Linked DNA regions of Struthio camelus. The protein of the gene in region 1 interacts with the protein of each later gene in a biochemical or structural test. Links are inferred from orthologs where the notes say so. Each region holds a gene or a part of one and is shown on either strand. Other genes may lie near its edges. The genes, in order: CCNE1 and ARIH1.

Evidence for each region.
Region 2: of the proteins of CCNE1 (region 1) and ARIH1, one has a biochemical effect on the other in vitro, tested with the Homo sapiens proteins (3 studies listed by BioGRID). The link is inferred for Struthio camelus from reciprocal best matches to the Homo sapiens genes CCNE1 and ARIH1.

The regions. Positions count from the first base shown.
Region 1 is NC_090951.1:14,456,347-14,466,047, forward strand, and holds the start of CCNE1 (G1/S-specific cyclin-E1), read right to left. Parts: upstream 3,674-9,701; 5' UTR 3,569-3,673; coding exon 3,555-3,568; intron 3,451-3,554; coding exon 3,360-3,450; intron 3,111-3,359; coding exon 3,042-3,110; intron 1-3,041. Other genes in the region: C10H19orf12 (protein C19orf12 homolog), read left to right, coding at 4,345-4,417, 5,501-5,583. UniProt on the Homo sapiens protein: Essential for the control of the cell cycle at the G1/S (start) transition.
Region 2 is NC_090953.1:24,861,882-24,871,451, forward strand, and holds the start of ARIH1 (E3 ubiquitin-protein ligase ARIH1), read right to left. Parts: upstream 4,435-9,570; 5' UTR 4,375-4,434; coding exon 4,000-4,374; intron 1-3,999. UniProt on the Homo sapiens protein: E3 ubiquitin-protein ligase, which catalyzes ubiquitination of target proteins together with ubiquitin-conjugating enzyme E2 UBE2L3.

The DNA.
Region 1 (9,701 bases):
GAAACTTCTGCAGATGCAGGAGCCCAGAGAGGCACGGGGAAGGAGGATTTTCAGCATGGAAACCTGAAGTCAAAGAAGCAGGAGGGGGAACAGGTCTATTCATCTCACTCTAAAAAGCAGCATCTCAGAACAGACAGACATCACACTACAGCCTTCATAGTTTACCGATCAGAAGTAATCCTAGCCATTTTTCACTCACAGGAGGCACTAGGTTGAAGTATAGGGCACTAGAACCCCTTTCTGATGACAAAGTAGGAAACAGAAGAGCAACTCACACAATTAGCTTGCTTCAGTTCTTTCTGAACAGCATAGGACCTTACGGTATTTTTAATCTCTAAAATAATTTGAATATTGTACTTCATCACATTAGGGTAAAGTCAGTCTCAACTTTGATACAGCTCACATTGTTCGTTTGCTTCAAAATTTTCCATTTTTTCGGATTAGGTCTTTCAAACATAACCTAGACTAGTTAAAGAATCTTTTCAGAGGATATTTTTTAAAACGCCTAGGTGGAACATTTTGAGAATTGTAAGTCTGTTCTGGAAAAGTGTCTCATGAGAAATTAACAACAATTATTTCCTGAAAGCTTTTTTTTAAATCTGAAAATGTGGATTAGTTGAAACTCAAAGTGGTACCACTTTGAGTTAAAATTCTCTGCTCTAGATTTGGAGGCCACGTACTTTGTATCAAGATTACATGGGTTACAATAATCTAGTTAGATGAATTTTGTTTTACATTGAGCCTTGGAAGCGTATCAGTCCACAGAAAGCAGCCAGAATTAATATGAGAATTACTAGCAGAATTACAGCAGTACCAGTTCTCCAAAATCAAATACAGAATTTATGCAATATTCCGCCGTCACAAACCTGATGATATAGCCACCCTTTCATCACATAAAGGGTAACGGCATCCTAATTAAGAACTCATGCCTTATGTTCAACAGAAACAAACTAATGAATTGAATATGAAGATGCTATAAAGTGGGATGCGACAATAGTCTTTTGCCTCGTGTATAAACTAGCATCAGTAAACAATTTATTTAATGTAGAAGTCACGTGGTATAGGCTGTACTGGATTTATAGCTACTTGCAGTTTAGAATTAGCATGCCACAACAGCATAACCATCTCACTGGCTATCATACAAGCTTGCTATACTGCTGCTGGAACCATAAACATATTCTCATTAGTGGCCCATGGCAATTTATATCAGAGAATAGCTTGTGTCACACCATAGACTGAAGAGCTGCTGCTGTGCAGCCAAATGTTAGCTTTTTTTAAACAGATCTGTAACAATCTGGCTACTTTGTTATGACAAAAAATCTTCTCCATGTACAGACTGATACACAGGTACCCATTTTATTTATGGTTTACCAAACTCAAGGGCCTAATTCCCACCAGTATCCTAAGCTTAACTTGAAAAATTCCTAAATCTGCATTTTGAAATGCCTACTGCCTAGATTATCTAAGTTTTAATACGCCCATCATTCACAAAGTCACATTTAATGGCTGCTAAGCTAGTAAGACAAAACAGGAATACAGAATTGGAAGTCTTTACCTACTTTCAGTGCTGAAGGTCACTGTATGTAAAACATATTTCAAGTTTCTTTCCATTATCTTTCTGAAGAAGGGCAAAATTGGGTCCATGGTAGGATTTTTTAAACAATACTTATTATTACGCAATAACTGCACACAAAAAGCCATTGCATAGCTCACACAGAATGAAACCTTTGGTGAAGAAGGGAACTGTGGTGAAGGACAGGCAGCTCTTCCTTGTCAGAAGTGAGAAATTAGTTTAATATGCACAAAAGAAAGACAGAAGGGAAAGAGATCCTCTCATTAAATGCTCACCATTTGAGCCCTGCTTAATATGTTGACTGATAACTAGCATACGCAGTTGCAACAAGCAGAGGCCATTCCAAACAATGATGCCCATCTGTTATGGTAGCACTTTAGACTTAGAACTTCCAGCTGCCACTTCTGGTTAGATGTGCCACATTATGCATAGCCTTGCGTACCAAATGAGCGCTGCCTGAACTCCCTGATCATGACTTTTGCAGTGTGAGTATCATCCCGCATGCGCATTAACTGGCTGAAGTCCTAGTGACAGAGCGTGCATGTGTACATGCAAGTGCGCAGTCTTTCTTCATGCCCTAAGACAGGGGATAAACCCATTTCAGAAAGTAGGCTAATCTTGCTGTTTTATTTAGAGCAGGCATCTCAATGTTTGAAAGCATCGTGCATGTCATGTCTGAAGACTATGAAGAGGACCCTAAGGTGACAGTTAGTTTTGACTTCCTACCTCAGATCATTCAGAGTATCCTATTTAGGAAACTGGTGATGGTCATCACCAGCCTCCCCTTACTGGCCCAATTTCCACAGCCTAAGTGGTTTTATAGAAGTTATCCCTTTTTGCTCTAGAGGGACCGAGCCTAACACTTCACCACGACATTAGCATCTAATATTATAAACTTCTAAGCTCTAATCAGTAACTCCTTGTTTTCTGGCAGTCTGACGACGATATTTTTGAGCAGGAATGGAGCAGAAGGTGAAAAGAATGAACGATCTTTCCCCTCTCCCAGCCTAAGTATAGACATGGACGCAAAAAGCTCCATCTCAAGAGATGATTCTGTTCATATGCTTAAGTGTCTCATGCTTTGGCCTGCAAGGTACACATGTAAGCACATCACTGTCCTCTTAGAGGTCTCTAGAGGAGTCAGTACAGGGTCTCCCCATGTAGAATTAAGTGCATATTAAGGCCTCTGTAAGTTGAACCCTTACAATCCCAGGAAAGTTGGAAATGCTGAAGTATTAACATTTTAGACCAATGCAGGCCTCCCTCATCTCTTGCAAAGACTCCAAAGCAAGCTGTATGAACTGAGCAGTTTTGTGCTTTTCATCATCCATGGCTGATAGCCCCCTCAACCACTGCTGTACAGCACGTGGCAGCTTTACCGTGTTCCCAAGAGTAACGAAGCGCTGTAAAATAATAGTAAAGTTACATGTGGTTATATGCTACCATGACCTGAGGTCAAAGCAGTTACCTGGTTTTCATACTGCTTTTTTCTGTTCATTTCCATTTGGGCAATTTCTTCATCCGGATCCTGCAAGAACTACAGAAAGGGAGAGATAATTTCAAATTACAGCGACGGAGCAGGGGGAAACGTGCCGCTCGCGACAGCGGCGGGCGTCGGGCCCACCGGGGCGGGCGGTGGGCAGACCACCGCCTGCCCACGGGCGGCGGGGGCCGCGCAGAGCGGGACGAGGGGCTGCAGGCCCGACCTCGGGGCAGCCACGGCGCAGAGACGGGCAGCGGGGCCGCAGCCGGCCCGAGCCATTTTGCCGGCTGGGTTCGCACTCACCGTGGCCACATCGGCTTTCCTCTTTCGGGCGCGCACGGCCCCCTCGGCGCCCCCTTCGCCCTTGGCGGGCGCCTTCTCCTCGCCGTGGTCACTGCCGAGAGAGGAGGAGAAATGGAGGCAGCGGCACCCCGGGGCGGGGGCCCCCGCGGAGGCCCGGGCCTAGGCGGCGGCGGCGCGGCCGCCCGCGGGACTCACCTCTCGCGGCGCATGGTGCCGGCCTGGGCCGGGGCGAGCTGCGGCCCTGCGCGGGCGAGGGCGGCCGCTGAGGGCGGGCGGGCGGAGCAGGCCGCCGCCGCCGCCACAAAGGGCCGCGGGCGCGCGGCGCGGGCAAGGGCCGGGCACCGCCGGCCGCAGCCCCGGCCCCGCCGCCCCCTGCCCTGCCCTGTCCCGCCCGCAGCGGCCCGCGCTGCCGACCCGCCGGCGCCTTCCCGGGCGAGAGGGCGGCGGGCGAGGGAGGGAGGGAGCGAGCGCTGCCCGCCCGGCGGCAGCGGCGGGGTGCAGGGCAGGGCGGGAGCGCGGGCTCCGCTGGGCGCCTCCTGCCTCACGGCGCGGCCGCTCCCGTCCCTGCGCACAGCGCGGCCCGCGCCGAGCGGGACATTTAAACGCGCGGCGCGGGGCCGCCTCCCCGCCCGCCCGCCGGGCCGCACACGTGGCCCCGCGCCCAGCGCCGGCCCGGCCGGGGCGGGGTCTGCGGGGGGGCGCGGCGCGGCGCGGCGCGGCGCGGCGGGGCGCCGGGGCCAAGCGGCGCAGGGCGCCGCAGGGCGCGGGCACCCGCGCGGCCGGGCCGGGTCGGGCCGGGCGGGCGGGGCGGGGCGGGGCCGCGCCGGGGGGAGGAGCCGGCGGGCCCGACGCGGAAGCGGCGGCGGGAGCTGCCCGCGGCGCGTCGACAGGCGGCGGCGAGGGCCCGGCGCGGTCAGCGAGGGGCGGGGCGGGGCGGGGCGGGGCAGCACCGCCGCCATGACGGTGCCCTCCTGCCCCGCCGGCCATGGCGCTGCGGCGGCTCTTCGGGCGGCCCCGCTCGGCCGTGGTCGGCGCGGTTCACGCAGCCGCGCTGCCAGGTAAGGTGCTCGCTTCCCCTCGCCGGCGCCGCCCCCGCCCCTCTGGGCCGCGCCTGAGCCGGGGGCGCGGCTGCCGCTCGTCGCCGGCGCGGGGCAGGCCCGGGCCGGGCCCCGGCGTGCGGGAGGGGGCGGCGGCCGCGGCCGCGGCCGGGCCCCAGGGAGCCGCGGAGCATGGCTGCGCGCCCGCAGCCGAGGTGTTGGCCGGGCTGGGCGCCTCGCTGCTGCGGGGAGGAGGTTTGGAGGCGGCGGGTGGGGTGGGGGGTGGCGGCAGCGAGCGCGGGGACGGAGTAGCGGCCGCCGGCAGCGCTGCGCCCCGCGGTTGGGGCGGCCGCAGCTGCAGCCGCGGGGCCGGGCCCGGAGCCGCCCTGCCCCGCGCCTTCCCCTTCCCCGAAGCAGCTTCCGAGCACCGCGGCCAGCTTGCACCGCGCCATGTCGGGTTAAGTCGGGCTAAAGACTGCCAGAGGAGCTGTTCCGAGTGCAGATCTCAGGCTCCAGGTACCTGGCTTTAGGAGCCCACGTGGTCAGAAAAGACTTCAGAATTATCTTGAGGAAAACTTTTGCTTTTTTCAAGCAAAACCCGTGCTGAGCGTTCTTTCCTGTCAGGAAGTTCTTACTTCAGGAGTAGCTGAAGATCAGACGCTACCAGCCTTGCAAGTTAGAGTTTTAATATAGTTCAAACAATCTTAAAGTCAGCTCGTGTTTCGTGCAGGTGTTCTGCAGAGCCAGTGGTCTGCCCTTGCCCTAGGTTATGTTGCATGAGCATCACTGATGAAGGATTAGCAGTAATAAGTACAGCAATGACAAGCTAAAGGCAGATTGGGTGCAATGAGAGATTATAGTGGATGTTCCTCAAGTTTGAGAACTTGGTTTTAGGAGCTGAACCGCGAGAGTGGATAGGTCAAGTTCAGTTAAGGAAAGAGATGCCGTTAAGGCATGCCACAAGGAGACACAGCAGCCTTTTAGCAAGTTTACCTGTTCCTGCCTATTTCACTATGCTAATCCCTGCAGTTATCTTAACTGAAAACTTACCCTGCCTGGTTTTGATTTCCCCTTGCACTGGGGTAAGCAGCATTGTTCTTGCAGGGACGCCGAGAAGTTCTCTTCCGTTGACCCAGATCGTTGATCAAGCTTGTCGAGAGGCAGAAACTTACAAGGATGCCGGAGTTGTAAGTATTGGCTTTCATTCTTCTTGTGGCAGTATTTACGCAAAGCTGCTTCTTTATAGCTAGCATTTAAAACGTTGAGTCCAAGTATACCTAGAACTTACTGAAAGCATCTTAAACACAGAGTTTAGGAAGAAGGTCAAAATACAAGATGTAGTTTTAATAGAGTAAGCCTTCTTAGCTTTTGAAACCTAAGCCATGTATTGAGTGCATGCAGAGCAATTGAAAAAGCTGCACAGTTCAAGTTACTGAAGTAGGATTGCTATCAATTTTTAAGAAACAAGTCAATTAAAAAAAAAAAAAGCAGATGGAAAGTTGACTACGACATTTAGTGTTGCCAGCATTTTAGGTATCTGGCTGTAGGAGGCTTCTTACAGTCTGACAAACCACTATATTTTTAGCTCTATGCAACACTTTTTGTGAACTCATGGAGGATTGGCATGTGCACAGGCATGGCTCAGTCACTTGTAGGCAATAGGATTCTCCCATGGTTGTATTTGTGCTGCTTAGACCCTTTTCTACCCATTTTAATCCTTCCATCATAGCCCTCTGGCAGAGAGCTTGCCTGTTTTGCATATCTAGAGGAGGCCCAAAAGGCGGCTCTCAGCCAGAGGCTAGAAAAGGCAGGTACTACTGCCTGAATTGCCATTGGACCTAAGGTGGTGTAGTAACCTTCGTAGGTCAGCAGTTTTTAAACAGAGTTTATGTCCCTTTGAAAGGTCAGGTATGTTTTAAAGTTCATTGCATCTTGCCTTCGTGCATTGGTGTGCTCTTTCTTTGACCTGCCTGCAGTATTGCTGGCGTGGTAGCGTGGTTTCGTAATGTCCGAGACTTAAAAATGGCTTAAATGGACAAGTAGTCAGTGCTCTGAGCTGCTCTTTTCTTCTAAACTTTAAGAACAACCCACTTGAAATCTTTTTTTTTTTAATGGCATAACTTTAAATTATACTTTACAATCAGAGCAAGATTGGATCTAAACTTAATCTGAATTACAGAAGGCCAAAGTCAAAATTCTTGACAAGTCACAAAGCAGGTTATGAACAGAGTAAGGCTTAATTAGGAAAGAGTCCTGAGAAGTAAATTGTTGAAAGGATAAACAGTGTGGAAGAATCATGTTTACGTAGGCAGGTTTCAGTGCCCGTGAGCCGGTCAGGCATGTGTCTACTCGGTTAGAATAATCTTCAACTGCAAGATCTGTGGAGTAAGTCAGTTTTCCTCCTTTCCGTACTTTCTGAAAGAAAATATGTACAGTAGTTCTGTGTAAAGTGAAGTAGTTCTGTACTATGACTGTATGTTTTGTCTTGGCAGTTGCAGGATCGGTGTGAGGTACAGGATGATTTGATCCACATCAGAAGAGTGGCGAGTAGTAGTTGGTCTGCCTTCCTGCATTAGAGGAAGTGCTTACATGAGTGACCTATAATTCTCTTAAAGTCATTGTCACACGTTCCATGCTTGTTTACCTGTTTTCCTTACATACTGATTATACATTGAAACCCTTAGCAGCAGAGCGAAAGCACGATGTAAAGCAATACATAAAGTTGAGGGAGGGTAGAGATGCAGTTACTTTCGTTGCTGAAATGCATAAAGCTGAAAGCGATTTAAGAGAAATGTTAAAATCGCTATTACCACAGAATTTTAGTTCCTATTTTACACCTTGTTGTCTTTTCAACAGTTGTAATAAAGCCTGCTGTTCTAACTGGTCTATCTCTTCTCCTCCTGTATTGCAATGACTGAGCTCTAGTAGATTTTAGAACTAGCTCCCAGGTAGACAGGTGCATGACAGTCATTTCTCTGCAGATTTAGAGAAATTCAGGACTTAGTATATTTCATTGTAGGGCTCTTGAGAGTGTCAGTAAATATTCCACAATAATCATTCTGAAGTTAAGTAGCTGAACTTATAGGTCCATACATAATAGTGTTACAGCTGTATAACAAAAAAAGTCTTTTATTAAGGCATAAAGGTCAGAGATAAGGAAGAGAGCTTCCATAGGTATCAGTATGGTTGCCTAACACTTTCTGGAATTCAGTTGTCTAGCTTTTCCTCAGTACTTGAGAGAGACATAGGTTTTCATGATGGATACTTCAAGAGATTCCTGGCTTTTGCATGTAGATCACCGCTCTTCCAAACTAGATTTTTTGCTTCCCAATGGGAATATGTTTGTTTCTCCCCTTCAGTACTGAAGAGTAAACTGCTAAATTATCTCTCTTTTTCTTGTGGAAAAAGACCTAGAAAGTTACAGCTTTTTTTTTTTCTTCTCTATGGATATATTCACTGACTGCAGTTCCAAATGCTGCTTACCGTAGTCTTTAAGATGTATAACCATCTTGTTACCACCAGGAGATGTTGGGATATTGTCTCGAGTTACTTGAATTAGTGTTAACATTCAAAAGTGAAGTATATGGTCTCACTCAACACGTATTGCGCCTGACAGTAAATTTTTATTCAGCAAAAAGTGACTTATCTGGCACGTTAGCAGTTTAACATAATAAATATGAGAGATCTGTGGTATTGGAACACAATAATGAAAACAAGTGAGTGTTCAGATAGGAAGTCATCTGGGCTGAAGACGTATTATGCTTTGTACTTGTGTTGCTGAACAATGAAATTCCCTAGACAAGACTTTATAAGCAGCAAATTATGAGACGTTATGCTCCCTCCCATTTGTATTTTCTTTTGTTTAAAAAAAAAAAAAGTAGTGATGCAAAAATAGAGTGCAAGTTACTTAACTTTTATTCACTCCACTCAGCCTGAGGGAAGCCTGCTTTGTAGCCAGAAAAAAGCAGAGTGGAAGTTTCTGTTCATTTCACTGATGTAACTCGCTTTACTAGTTACCATTATTATCTAGTTGCAGCTACCTGAATAGCTGACAGGAAAGACTGTTAAAGATGCACTTTTTCCAAAAGAATTATTTTTATTTGAGCTTTTAAAATGCAGTATTGTGTTGCAAGTATTATGTTGCTTGTCACCAAGCAAGATTTCAGGTTTGCTTCTTTTGCCAGTGTGGTCTCTGCAGATGCCTTTGTTGCTATTCTGAGCAACTTGATCCTTGTTTTATCTCTGTACTTGAAAGGATAGTTGCCAGTATCTGTTCTACATGAAGATTTTCAAAATAAGATTTTTCCAAGCCTGTGATTTTCTTAACTTCTGCGGTAGTTAGTGTTAAGATTAGTTAAGATTTAGTAACAGTTGGGATAAAGTAAACCAACATTTCTATCGTAGACACAAGGAGATAGTTATCATCTGACTTAATAGCGGTTAACTTTCCAAGTCTTGGCTATATTACAGTAGCAGATTTAAAAAAAAAAAAAAAAAAAAACCACACACACACACAAAACCACCTGTGGTATATAGAGAAGAACATAACGTGTCTGCTTAGCTAAGTTAAGATAGAGATCTCTTGCTCAGGTAGAGCTTTTAAAGGAATTGTAGATTTTGGAAGCTATACCTGGGCACAGAAAAATGCTTTACAAAGGTACCTGATCTCTTTTATATAGAGGCACATGACGGTGGTGGTGGTGGGAGGGTTGTAATCATCTCAGCACACACCTGCACCTGTTTACTAATTGGTATGAAACAAACAAAAACCTCTTCCTGGAAGAAAGAGCAGTTATTTTAAACTGACATAGGTTTTTATCAATATGTCTGTATTTGGAGGTGAGGCCTTCCTGTTAGGAGAAACACTGAGGTTAAAGTTATTGTAAGTAAGTTCTATTAGATAAGGAGCTGAGTTAGAACTTGTATGTTTGTTGTACGTGTTGTGCTTTATAGGATTATGACTATATTTTTCCTGAGGTTTTTCTGTGGTGATACGTGTGTGTGGCTGACGTGTTTTAAGAGGTCCTTTCTCTAAGTGAAATAAAGCTAAGGATATTGTTTCTCTATATAATCAAAGAGCTATTTAAAAGACCTACTGTCCACTAGCTAACTGTGATACAAGAGGCACTTTGCACATATGTAACACTTTAGATGTCATTCAAAGTAAAAGGGAAGTATACTATTTGAGAATTATTGAAAATAAGGCTGTTCTATTTATAAAACAACACATAAATCTCCTTAATGTTCAATGGAAAAGAAACACAAAAGATATTTGCTGGAGTTTTATCTCTTACTATCCAAATAA
Region 2 (9,570 bases), on another chromosome or scaffold:
AATATTTGCGCTGCCTCAATTGCGACGGCCTCTCGAAAAAGCTGCTCCTCGACAAATTTAACAAACGCGGCATTGTAACTTAGGAGTGGCCTGGGCTTTTGCCTTACTTTAACATCAAAGTTTTTATCCAGTAAGGTCCTGATCTTACTTTTACAGAAGTCATCCAGATTTATCACCTACACGAGGAAACAAATATTCAGTACAAACGTTCAGATACTGCACACTCTCTGTTCTGCCCTTAAGAACCTTATTTTAAAGCCTGTGGTTAACAGAAAAGGGGTTTTTTTGCACTAGACAAAGTTCTGTTGGATCTGGTGACTCCAGCTCCTTCCAAAGGAAACACATTTGAAGTCTGACATCCTCCCAAGCATCTAGTGTGGGCCAGTCAGGACACCCAGCAACTTCCAGGGACCTGCTTCCTGCTGGAGGGTGGAAAAAAAAAAAGACAATTCTGCTCTACTCCCCTTTCTGTGTTTTTGTTTTAAACATGGGTCTTGAGCAATTTTTGCCATATCAACCTGACATGCATCCCGATGTTTTCGGCACCTTTACCAGTTACAAAGTCCAGACAGAACAAATATGGTCAGTGACATCACAATGATATCACTCAGACGCTCCAGAAAAGGTGACCAAAAAGGGGAAACAAACCCAATCCAGAAATACTGCAATCACACAAACTGGCAACAAAGCAAGGAGAAAATTGAACTGAGCAAGTCCAGGGACACAGATCATCAGGTGCTCTATTCAGAGTAGGAATAAACATGCTATTCTAAACATTTTCAAGTTTATTTTCAGAAATCTGGAGCAAAGATATAAATAGTAATCTGCTATAAAGGGGGAGGGCAGGTAAAAACTTATTCGGACAATCCTTCTTCCTGAAGCTCCGAGAGGAAGAGTACAGTGAAGTACTGTGGGAAAATACCTTTCAAATAAGAAAATCTTTTGTTTAATGCCACCTCTCAGACATCTACCTCTACGTCTACATTTTCACAGCTGTTCTGCAAGTGATTCTCCAAGAAAAACATGCAAGAGATCTGCCTGTTCACTTTGACGGCTAAAATTCGAAATAACCTGCCGAATAAATCTCTATGCCACGAAACTAGAGTGACATAATGGAAGGGACACTCTGATCTAAGGTTGGGTTTAAAAGTCTCAGCCAGTCATCAGCACAAGGTTAAGGGGCTTATTTTTGCTTTTGGGGGGGAGAAGGGGAATTCTTGTTGTGTGGCGCAGAGTCAAATCAGATTATCAGCATAAATGCTAACTAGTCTGCAAAATCATCATTAAGCACCTGAAATCCTGCTTACGCTCAGGCAAGTCCGCAGAGACACTGAACGCAAAATATTCTGAACGTTTGAGCCATCCTGAAACCTCCTTAGTTCACTGTAAGTTTAGTGGTCTTAGAAGGCCGAGTGACCAAAAAGCAGCAGTACTAAGCAGTCATCTTCAAGAGCACATTACACTCTACCAGCACAAATTATACACGCAGCGGCCAACAAATCTGTCACAAGATAGCTACTATTTCAGCAAGATCTTCATCAGATTAAATCCCTGTCTTAAGGGGTTTTTCATATACATGCATACACAGTTGGTATTTGGAAACGACTAAAAGGATGGGAAAGTAAATTTAATTCGCTCTCTTCAGCTAACGCTATCAGCTAATAAACTGCTATTCAAACACAGTCTTTTAATATAGACTAAGGCCCAACTCCCTACGTACAGGAGTTATATCAGCCACGTCTCATCTCCACGCAGATGTTCTGTTGTTTACTGATACCTTTTCCTTTCATTGCAAGTGCAAAGATGATTAGCTTGAAAAACAAAATCATATTTATACTTATTTCAGATCAGAAATTGGTGCCTTCGCTGATGAGAGAGAGGGCAGAAGACTTGCAGCCAACCTTTTCAGGTATAGAGCACTTCTGCATCGCAACTTCACTAAGTTATCAAGCACTATAAACTGGGACTGCAACCATTATCATTTGACACCAAGATCTGAATTTCGATACACAGAGACCAAAACCCTTTAGGACTAGGCTGGAACAAGTGAATCACAGGCCTGCAACCAAGGATCTGCAGCAGGATCCTGAGCCAATGCGACTCCAGAAAAGGTTTAGCGAACCAGAAAAGTGGCAGCAGCAATCCTGGTTGGGCGCCAAAGCAGGAAATAAACAGTACAGAGCCCTGGAAGCTTTCACCACAAGCAACAGAAGTGAGGATGAGCAAATACTGAAGCATCAGCTGAATTAAGCTCACTCACCTCTGAACAGACTAGAAAACTAATAGCAGTAAGCTGGCCTTTAAAAGCAATTCAAGACAACTGAATGTTTTTCTACCTTCTTCTGACATATTCTACTACTTAAGCTGATTTTAGCTCGTGAGCTTATTCATTACTACTCTCAACATAAACTGGTTTTCTGTACTCTTCTCTCTTAAACTAGGAGTAATAACTGCAAATCTACTGCTAATAACTAAGGTGTAACTAACATCCACTGCTGGCTGTTGTGCGTAGGCAGTCTGCAATTCTCCTGCGGATCCCAATGAAATCGGGATCCCCATCACAGGGTCAGGCCTTCTGCAGTTACCCCAGGTACAAGAAAGGGAGCAGAGTCCTCTACCTTTATTGGCCTTTGTCCACTGTTTCTGCTGCTCTCAAGCGCACAAGTTGCACGGCTCGAGGGCAGTGTAAGAGAAGAAAAACACGTGGACAAGAAACCAGGACCTCAGCTACGAAATTACTTCACAAAGAACAGGTAGGCGAATTCACCGTGTGGGCCAAGACTGGAAAAAACCACAAGCAGGAACATTCACTACTCCTCAATGGCAGGGACATTTCTACCAGTTTGCTTACAGAGAGATAAGACAAACGGTAGAATCTGCTCGATACAATCGGTAAGGGATGCGATTTTCACAGCCTCAGTCATTAAAGGCATACTTACCATTTTAACCACTATTTCAAAGAGTAAATACTTTAGGTTATGAAACATTTGCATGTCTAACTTCCCATTTGCATGTCTACTTGCCATTTGCTCCGCTATATTAGGCTCAATGACTAGCGACAAAGAAATATCCGTATTTAACGAAGAGACCCTCTTGAGCTGCGCTCTCTGGTAATGAGAAAGTTAGTTTAGACTCCTTTATTCAGCCTAACGTGTATGGTACTATTATTAAGGTTATTAATTTTATTTCGACTTCTGAAGTGTTGTTTACTAATTTACTAGATGAACGTTTAGGCAGTTGTTTGCATCAAGCATGTGAAGCAACATTTTAAAGCTGCGAATACAACCACTCTAGAGCGCACAATCTTAGGCAAAAGAGTACCCGCAACTAGCAAACAACTGATTTCTGGGCATTGCGTCCTCCCAAGATGTTACAATCTGTAGCTCTCCCCACGCTACCTCTGTGGGCCTACTGGAAGAGCAGAAGCACTTTCACTTATTAGCTGTGACTCTTAATACTGACTAAACTGGAACAAAAGAAAACCCATGCATGCGGGTCACCTGTAGAAGCAGCGAACGGCCTCAGAAACTTCGGGCAAGCTGGGACAAAACCTAGCCACAGACATTCAGGAAGGGATGTTAGACGGCTGGGCTGGCTTGAACGTTTTCCCAAAAGCAGGAGGGCCAGCACGTAAGACCGGAGCAGGGCCGTTTGAAGGCAGCGTTATCCTGCGCTCAGCTCGGCAGCTCCGTTTTCACAACGGCCCGCTTAAAAACGGCAAGGAAAGTTTGCGCTTTCCGAGGGGATCTCTGCATCCCTGCGGGTCGCCGCCGGAAAGAGCGGCGGCGCGGCCGGGCCCCGTCGGGAGGCGCCGCGGTTGTAGGGCGGCGGGCAGGCAGGCAGGCAGGAGAGGGCCAGGCGGCGGCGCCGCGGCCGGGGAGCGGGGCAGCCCCGAGCCGCCCCCCGCCGAAGGGCCCCGGAGCCGCGGGCCCGACCGGGCCGCCCCCCTCCCCTCCCCTCCCCTCCCCTCCGCCGGCTTCGCGGTTCCCGGTGCCGCACCTGGATGACCTCGTTGACCTCGCGGATGCACTCCACCATGTGCTGCAGGATCTGCTCGGCCGTCAGCACCTCGTAGCGGTAGTCCTCCTCCTGCTCGGGCCCGCCGCCGCCGCCGCCGCCGGGGCCCGGCCCGCCGCCCAGCCCGCCGCCGCCGCCGCCGCCGGGGCCCAGCCCGCCCGTCTCGCCGCCCAGCAGCCCGTCGCGCTCGCCGCCCACGCGCAGCCCGGGCTCCACCAGGTCCACCTCGCCCAGGTCCAGGTTGTCGTCGTCGGGCTCGTCCTCCTCCTCGTCCTCCTCGTCCTCCTCGGCGCCGCTGTCCTCGCTGCACTCCTCGTCCTCGTCGAACTCGTAGTTGTAGCCCTCGTCCGAGTCCATGGCGAGGCGGTGGTGGTGGTGGCGGCGGCGGCGGCGCGGCGGCTCCCGCCCCCCCGCCGGCGCCTGCCCGCCCGCCCGCCCCCGCGCTGCCCCGGCGCGGCCCGGCCCGGCCCGGCCCGGCGCGGCCGCTCGCTGCCCGCCGCCCCGCAGCGCCCGCCGCCGCCGAGCCAACAAAGGGACGCGGCGGACCCGCTCCGTCACCGCGCGCCGCGCACGCACGGCACGTCACGCCGCGGCGCGTCACGCGCCGCGGCGTGACGTGCCGCGCCTGCGCCGCCGCCGCCGCCATCTCCCCTCAGGCGCCGACGCCGGGGAGGGCCATCCGGAGTGCGCGCCACTCCCCCCCCCGACCCGACTCCATCTTGAGTGTGGCGCGGAGTGGGGGGGGGAGGCGGGCAGCGGCCATGTTGGGGATGGCGCGGGCATTGTGTGCGCCATGCTGCGTGCGGCCCTCCCCCGCCCCGGCGCCCGGTGTGCCGCCGGCCGGCCGGCCGCCTTTCCCCGGTTGCAGAACAGGCGGCCTCGCGTGACCCCGGCCGCGCCGGGCGGCACCTCCCTGCTTCAGCTTGGGGGCAGCGGGGATAAGCGCGGCCGGGTCTCGGCGGCTCCGTCGGGCTGGGCCCCCGCTCCTCGCTGGGCCGCGCAGCCCCGGGGAAGCTCCTCGCAGCGTAAGCGCTGTGCGAAGAGGCCGCGTCGTCGCTTATTCGGCGTTTAGGAGGGGGGCAGAGCGGGCCTCGCGGCCCTGCAAAAGCAGGCCTGGCTCTTGCGCGAGCGGCTGGGGCTGAGCCGGGCGCCTAGGGCCAGCGCTGCGTCCTGGTGGGCCCGTCCCTGCCGGGCCGCTCAGCCTGCTCCCCGCCGTTGAGCTTTCCTCGCTGCTCGGCCTGGCTGAGGTGCAGGCGAGGCTAGCTGGGCTTATTGCCTGCCGCCGTGCGGGGGGCACCGGGGACTCCGGTTGGCTTGGTAACCGGCTGCAGGCTGGCCCAGAGGGGAGCCAGCTGATAGCACATCCTCTGCTGTGATTCACTGTGGAGGGATGTGAGCAGGCGGCACAGCCCCGGGAGGGCTCCGGGGCCACCTTCTCCACCTCTGCTTCCTCGTGCCCTGCAGAGTCATTTCTAGCCGGGTGAAGTGGGGCTGTTGTGATGTGGTAACACGCGCTTCACCTGCTTTGCCTGGATGAAAATGGCTTCGCGCCTGGAGGGCAAGGGAGACTCAGCCTCACGGTATGCAGCGCAGGTGGGGCGAGTTTTATCAGTTCTTTGGGCAGGAGTCACCGCGGTGCTTTGTGTTTGCGCAGCGGGATCCTGCTCCCAGCTCCTGCTTCCTCAGTACTAACGCAGCACAAATAACAAAGACCTTGTGAAACAGGCAGCGGCACTTGCAGAAAATTAGAAGGCACCTCCAAAAAGCTAGAGGGGTGTTTATTTTCTGGTGGTGTCTATAAAGCGTAATGATGGCCGCTGTGCCAGGGGTTTAAGTTCAGAGTGACACAGGTAGGTGCCCTTGTGGATCCAAGCAGATTAGGTGTCCGACTTCCTGGGTAGGTGCCTCTAGAAACCTCACTGCCTACCAGCCTGCATCTTGAGATACACAAGCAGCTCTGAAGAACAGTCCTGGGTGTTTCTTGGCATCACAGCAGCTTCAAGTGAATTTGCCGCAGTCACGACTGCCCCGTGTCCTCCCCAAGCAGTTGTCATGCGAGCCCCTGCAAACACTCCTCTTCCCCAGGGAAAGACGAGAGCTTGGCAGTGTGCCCCAGCAGCCACCGGCTCTGACCGCAGTGGGTCCTAGGAGGCAGGAGGGGTAACGCCTGCAGCCCGAGACCCTCCTTGCAAGGGGCCCTGCCTCTGTCTCCATACATACAGCTTGCAGCGGGGCAGCTGGTGCCTGCTGTCCCCAAGCTCTGGCCTGCCCCGAGAAGGTTGGGAGCAGCAGCGGGAGCAGGGTCAGGAGTGCCGTCCCAGAGGGGCTGGGAGGCTCAGGCTGAGCTGGGGAGGCCTGTGGGCCAGCCACATATATTGCCTCATGCCAAGCCAGCTGGTAAATAAAGCCAGTTTCCTAATTACTTTTTGGGGATGGCAAAGGCCTGGGCATTAATCATCCTGCCCTACATAAATATAAATAGCACTGGCTTTGTTCAGCTCTGAACTTACCAGCTGGACGTTTGCCAGGCTTGTCCCATCTCACATGTCAAGTGTTTGTGGCTCAGCTGGCTGTCACACGTCCTCCTCGCGGCGCCTGTACCTCCTCTGATGCTGCAGGGCCCGCGCTGGAGCCTCCCTCCTGCTCCTGGAGCCTCCGTGCCAGACAAGCTGCCCAGCCTGGCCATCGCCTGCTGCCCAGCACAGCTGGGTGTCCTGGAGCAGGAGAGGTCACGGAGAGGCGCGCTGTCCCAGCGGTGGGTGTCACCCCCAGGGGCTCTGCACTGAAGGCCCAGCTCGTGACGTGGGTTCTGGCCAAGAGGAGAGCAGGCGTGAGCCAGCGGACGGCAACGTATCTGCCGCAGAGTCTGCCGGACTCCAGGGAGCTGAGAAATCTTGCAGAGAGGTTTTGCCTGGACATCAGGCTCTTGTTTTATCAGAGCTTTGCTGGCTCCCATAGGCTATGTTTTTGCTGACCCACAAAACTGGGTCCAACCCTTTGCTGGAGATGACTTTCCTCTCTGGGACAAGACTACCTCTGTCTTTGCTAACCTGCTTTTTCCTCCTGGGGCCACCTAGGTAGAAGGGCAGCGCTGAGGGTGGCGGATTTGGGCAGGGGTAGACCTGCAGCAGGCCCCTGACACCGCCTGGCGCGGGGCAGGCTGCCCGGGGCCTGTGAACGCCTCCCCGGTGCCCTCTCCTGGCCCCTGCCGATGCTGCACAGCGCCCACGAGTCCAGCCTTTCCCAAAGCACGGTCCTCTCGTGCGCCTTGGACTATCTGCAGCTCTTCAGGGCCCAGATACTGGCTACAGTAACGTAAGCTGAAGGCTGGTGTGAGCCCCCCAAGCCCTGATCAGTGATGAGGGTGCACAGCTTCCCTCCAGGCTCTGGAGAGCAGTGTCTGGATTCCCTATCCCAGACGCTCACCGTTCTCAGGGCTGTCTTCTCTCCCCACACCTCTTCTGACGTATCTGCCTCCCTTGGACACTCACAGTGGGATAACTAGCTTTGCATCTCTTGTGAGATGAGATATTAGACACCAAATGGACACGATCACCGTGCACAGCCCTTCTGAACAGCGTGGGGGAAGAACCACGCCTGCAGCTCCTTCTGGCGTAGCACGTTCCCACCTCAATGTGCAGGGTAATCTCACTACAGCGCATTCAGTAGCACAAAGCACAGTCATTTAGAAATACATTTATACTCTCTTGGTCATGTATATAGCAAGGAAACCAGGTTGAGTTCAGGCTCACAATGTGCCAACAAATCTCCAGGCATTAACAAAATTTCACCGTCCCTTTGCGAGAACCAGCAGTCAAGGCAGCCCCCGATACAACCGCAGTAAGCGCGCTCTAGTTCTCTTCCTCCTCAACCAACACAGGGGAGATGTTAGACAACTGCTACCTTTCAAACCCAACTGTTTCCCTTTCTCATATAATCCCGTTAGTAAACGTTTATAAGGAGTGATGGGATCTTCTCTGTGCAGCAAAGAATGCCATCCCACAGGCACAGAAATATGATTCTCCTCCTGCAGTCCCAGCCTTATCTTTACGCTAGAAGAGCTGACTTCTCCCCTGCAAGACATATTATCGCCACTTTGCTCGTGGTTATCCCTCTGAACTCCGAGTGTTAGTCTTACTTAATGACAAGACTAGTTTGCTTTTAAAGAGCACAGCTAAAACAATAATCCACACTTCTCAAAAATATTCCTTGATATGAAATTTTAGCTATGCCCCTTGGAAAAAATCATTGCTCTAATTATTCTTGGTTTTCCTTTCCTTATAAAGTTTCCAAACTAGTGGTTGTCACCCTGAAGCCTGTGGAGCCCCAGGTGCCCGCAGCCTCGCAGGGAAAAGTACCTGAGGAAAGCAGGGCTGCTGCCTTCAATGTGTTACGAGGATACCTGCACTGCCTCTGGAAATTTTAGGACTCCAGCTGCAGAAGAAAGTTGAAAACTGCTGTTCTGTCCAATCTGAAAAATGATTTAGAACTCCATAGGCACCTGGTGCTTTTTCATTTTATTCTTGCAAAAGGTTAATTGCACAAGTGATTCTAGTAACTGTTAGCACTGAAGCTGACAAGAATAAAATATTGCATTGTAATCACCTTCCTCCGTAAAGTTAAGCACACGCTTAAGGGATTTACGGGAGCAGGGTCTGTCTGCACACTCACTTCATTTCTAGACTGAGGAATTTTTCAGCACACGTGCACAGGCTCTTGATTGATTCCGGTTCAGCTGATCGCTTAGACCCACAGACATGATTAAGAGGCAGCAGGGACAGCAGCCACGTGTATTCAGCCTCCACAACAAGTCACAGCAGCCTCCCTCTTGCCTGCGAGCGCCCGGCAGGGCCCTATGTTTAAAATGATCTCCATCCAGCACCGACACAAGCACTCCCAGCTCCCATCCAGCCTGAGCACCCCTTGACTCTACCAAAAAGCCACAGAAGTGCCCTGGAGCAAAGCCCGTATCTCACCCACTTGCACTGTGGCCTCCCTCCTGCTCCATCGCTCCTGGGCCAGCTGGGTTGGGCAGACGGCTCTCTGGAAAGAGCCCTTCTCTATCGCCCAATAAATGTGGAGCTCCCCTACATGTGGAGCTTGGGAAAAAGAAAGCCAGGAGATTTCTCTGTGCCCAGCTTCTGATGCCCTCCCTTGGGTTTGATTCGGCTGCCAGCACACCCATTAACTACCTCAGCTGCAAGCCTGAGTTGAGATGCCCCTCAGATCACTGCAGTTTTTTCAGCCACCCAAAAGCTGTGCAAGCTGCACATAGTCCAGAGGGAAAAAGCTTTGCAAATAATACCAATAGTGCAAATATCTCCGGGCTGAACTCGGCATCATTTCTGCAGTCAGGAACCCAAATCCTGCAGACTGATTAACACATCTCACCTCAAACTTGTTGCCTTAAACTCCATTTTTAAGTTCATACTTGTTAAAGTACCACTCCTCAAACATGCCCAGAGCTGAGATATGCTCCTGTCTGCTAGCACTGCATCTCCTAGGCCTCGCTCCCCTTACATGTGCTCTCTCATCTGAAGAGGTCCCTTCTGC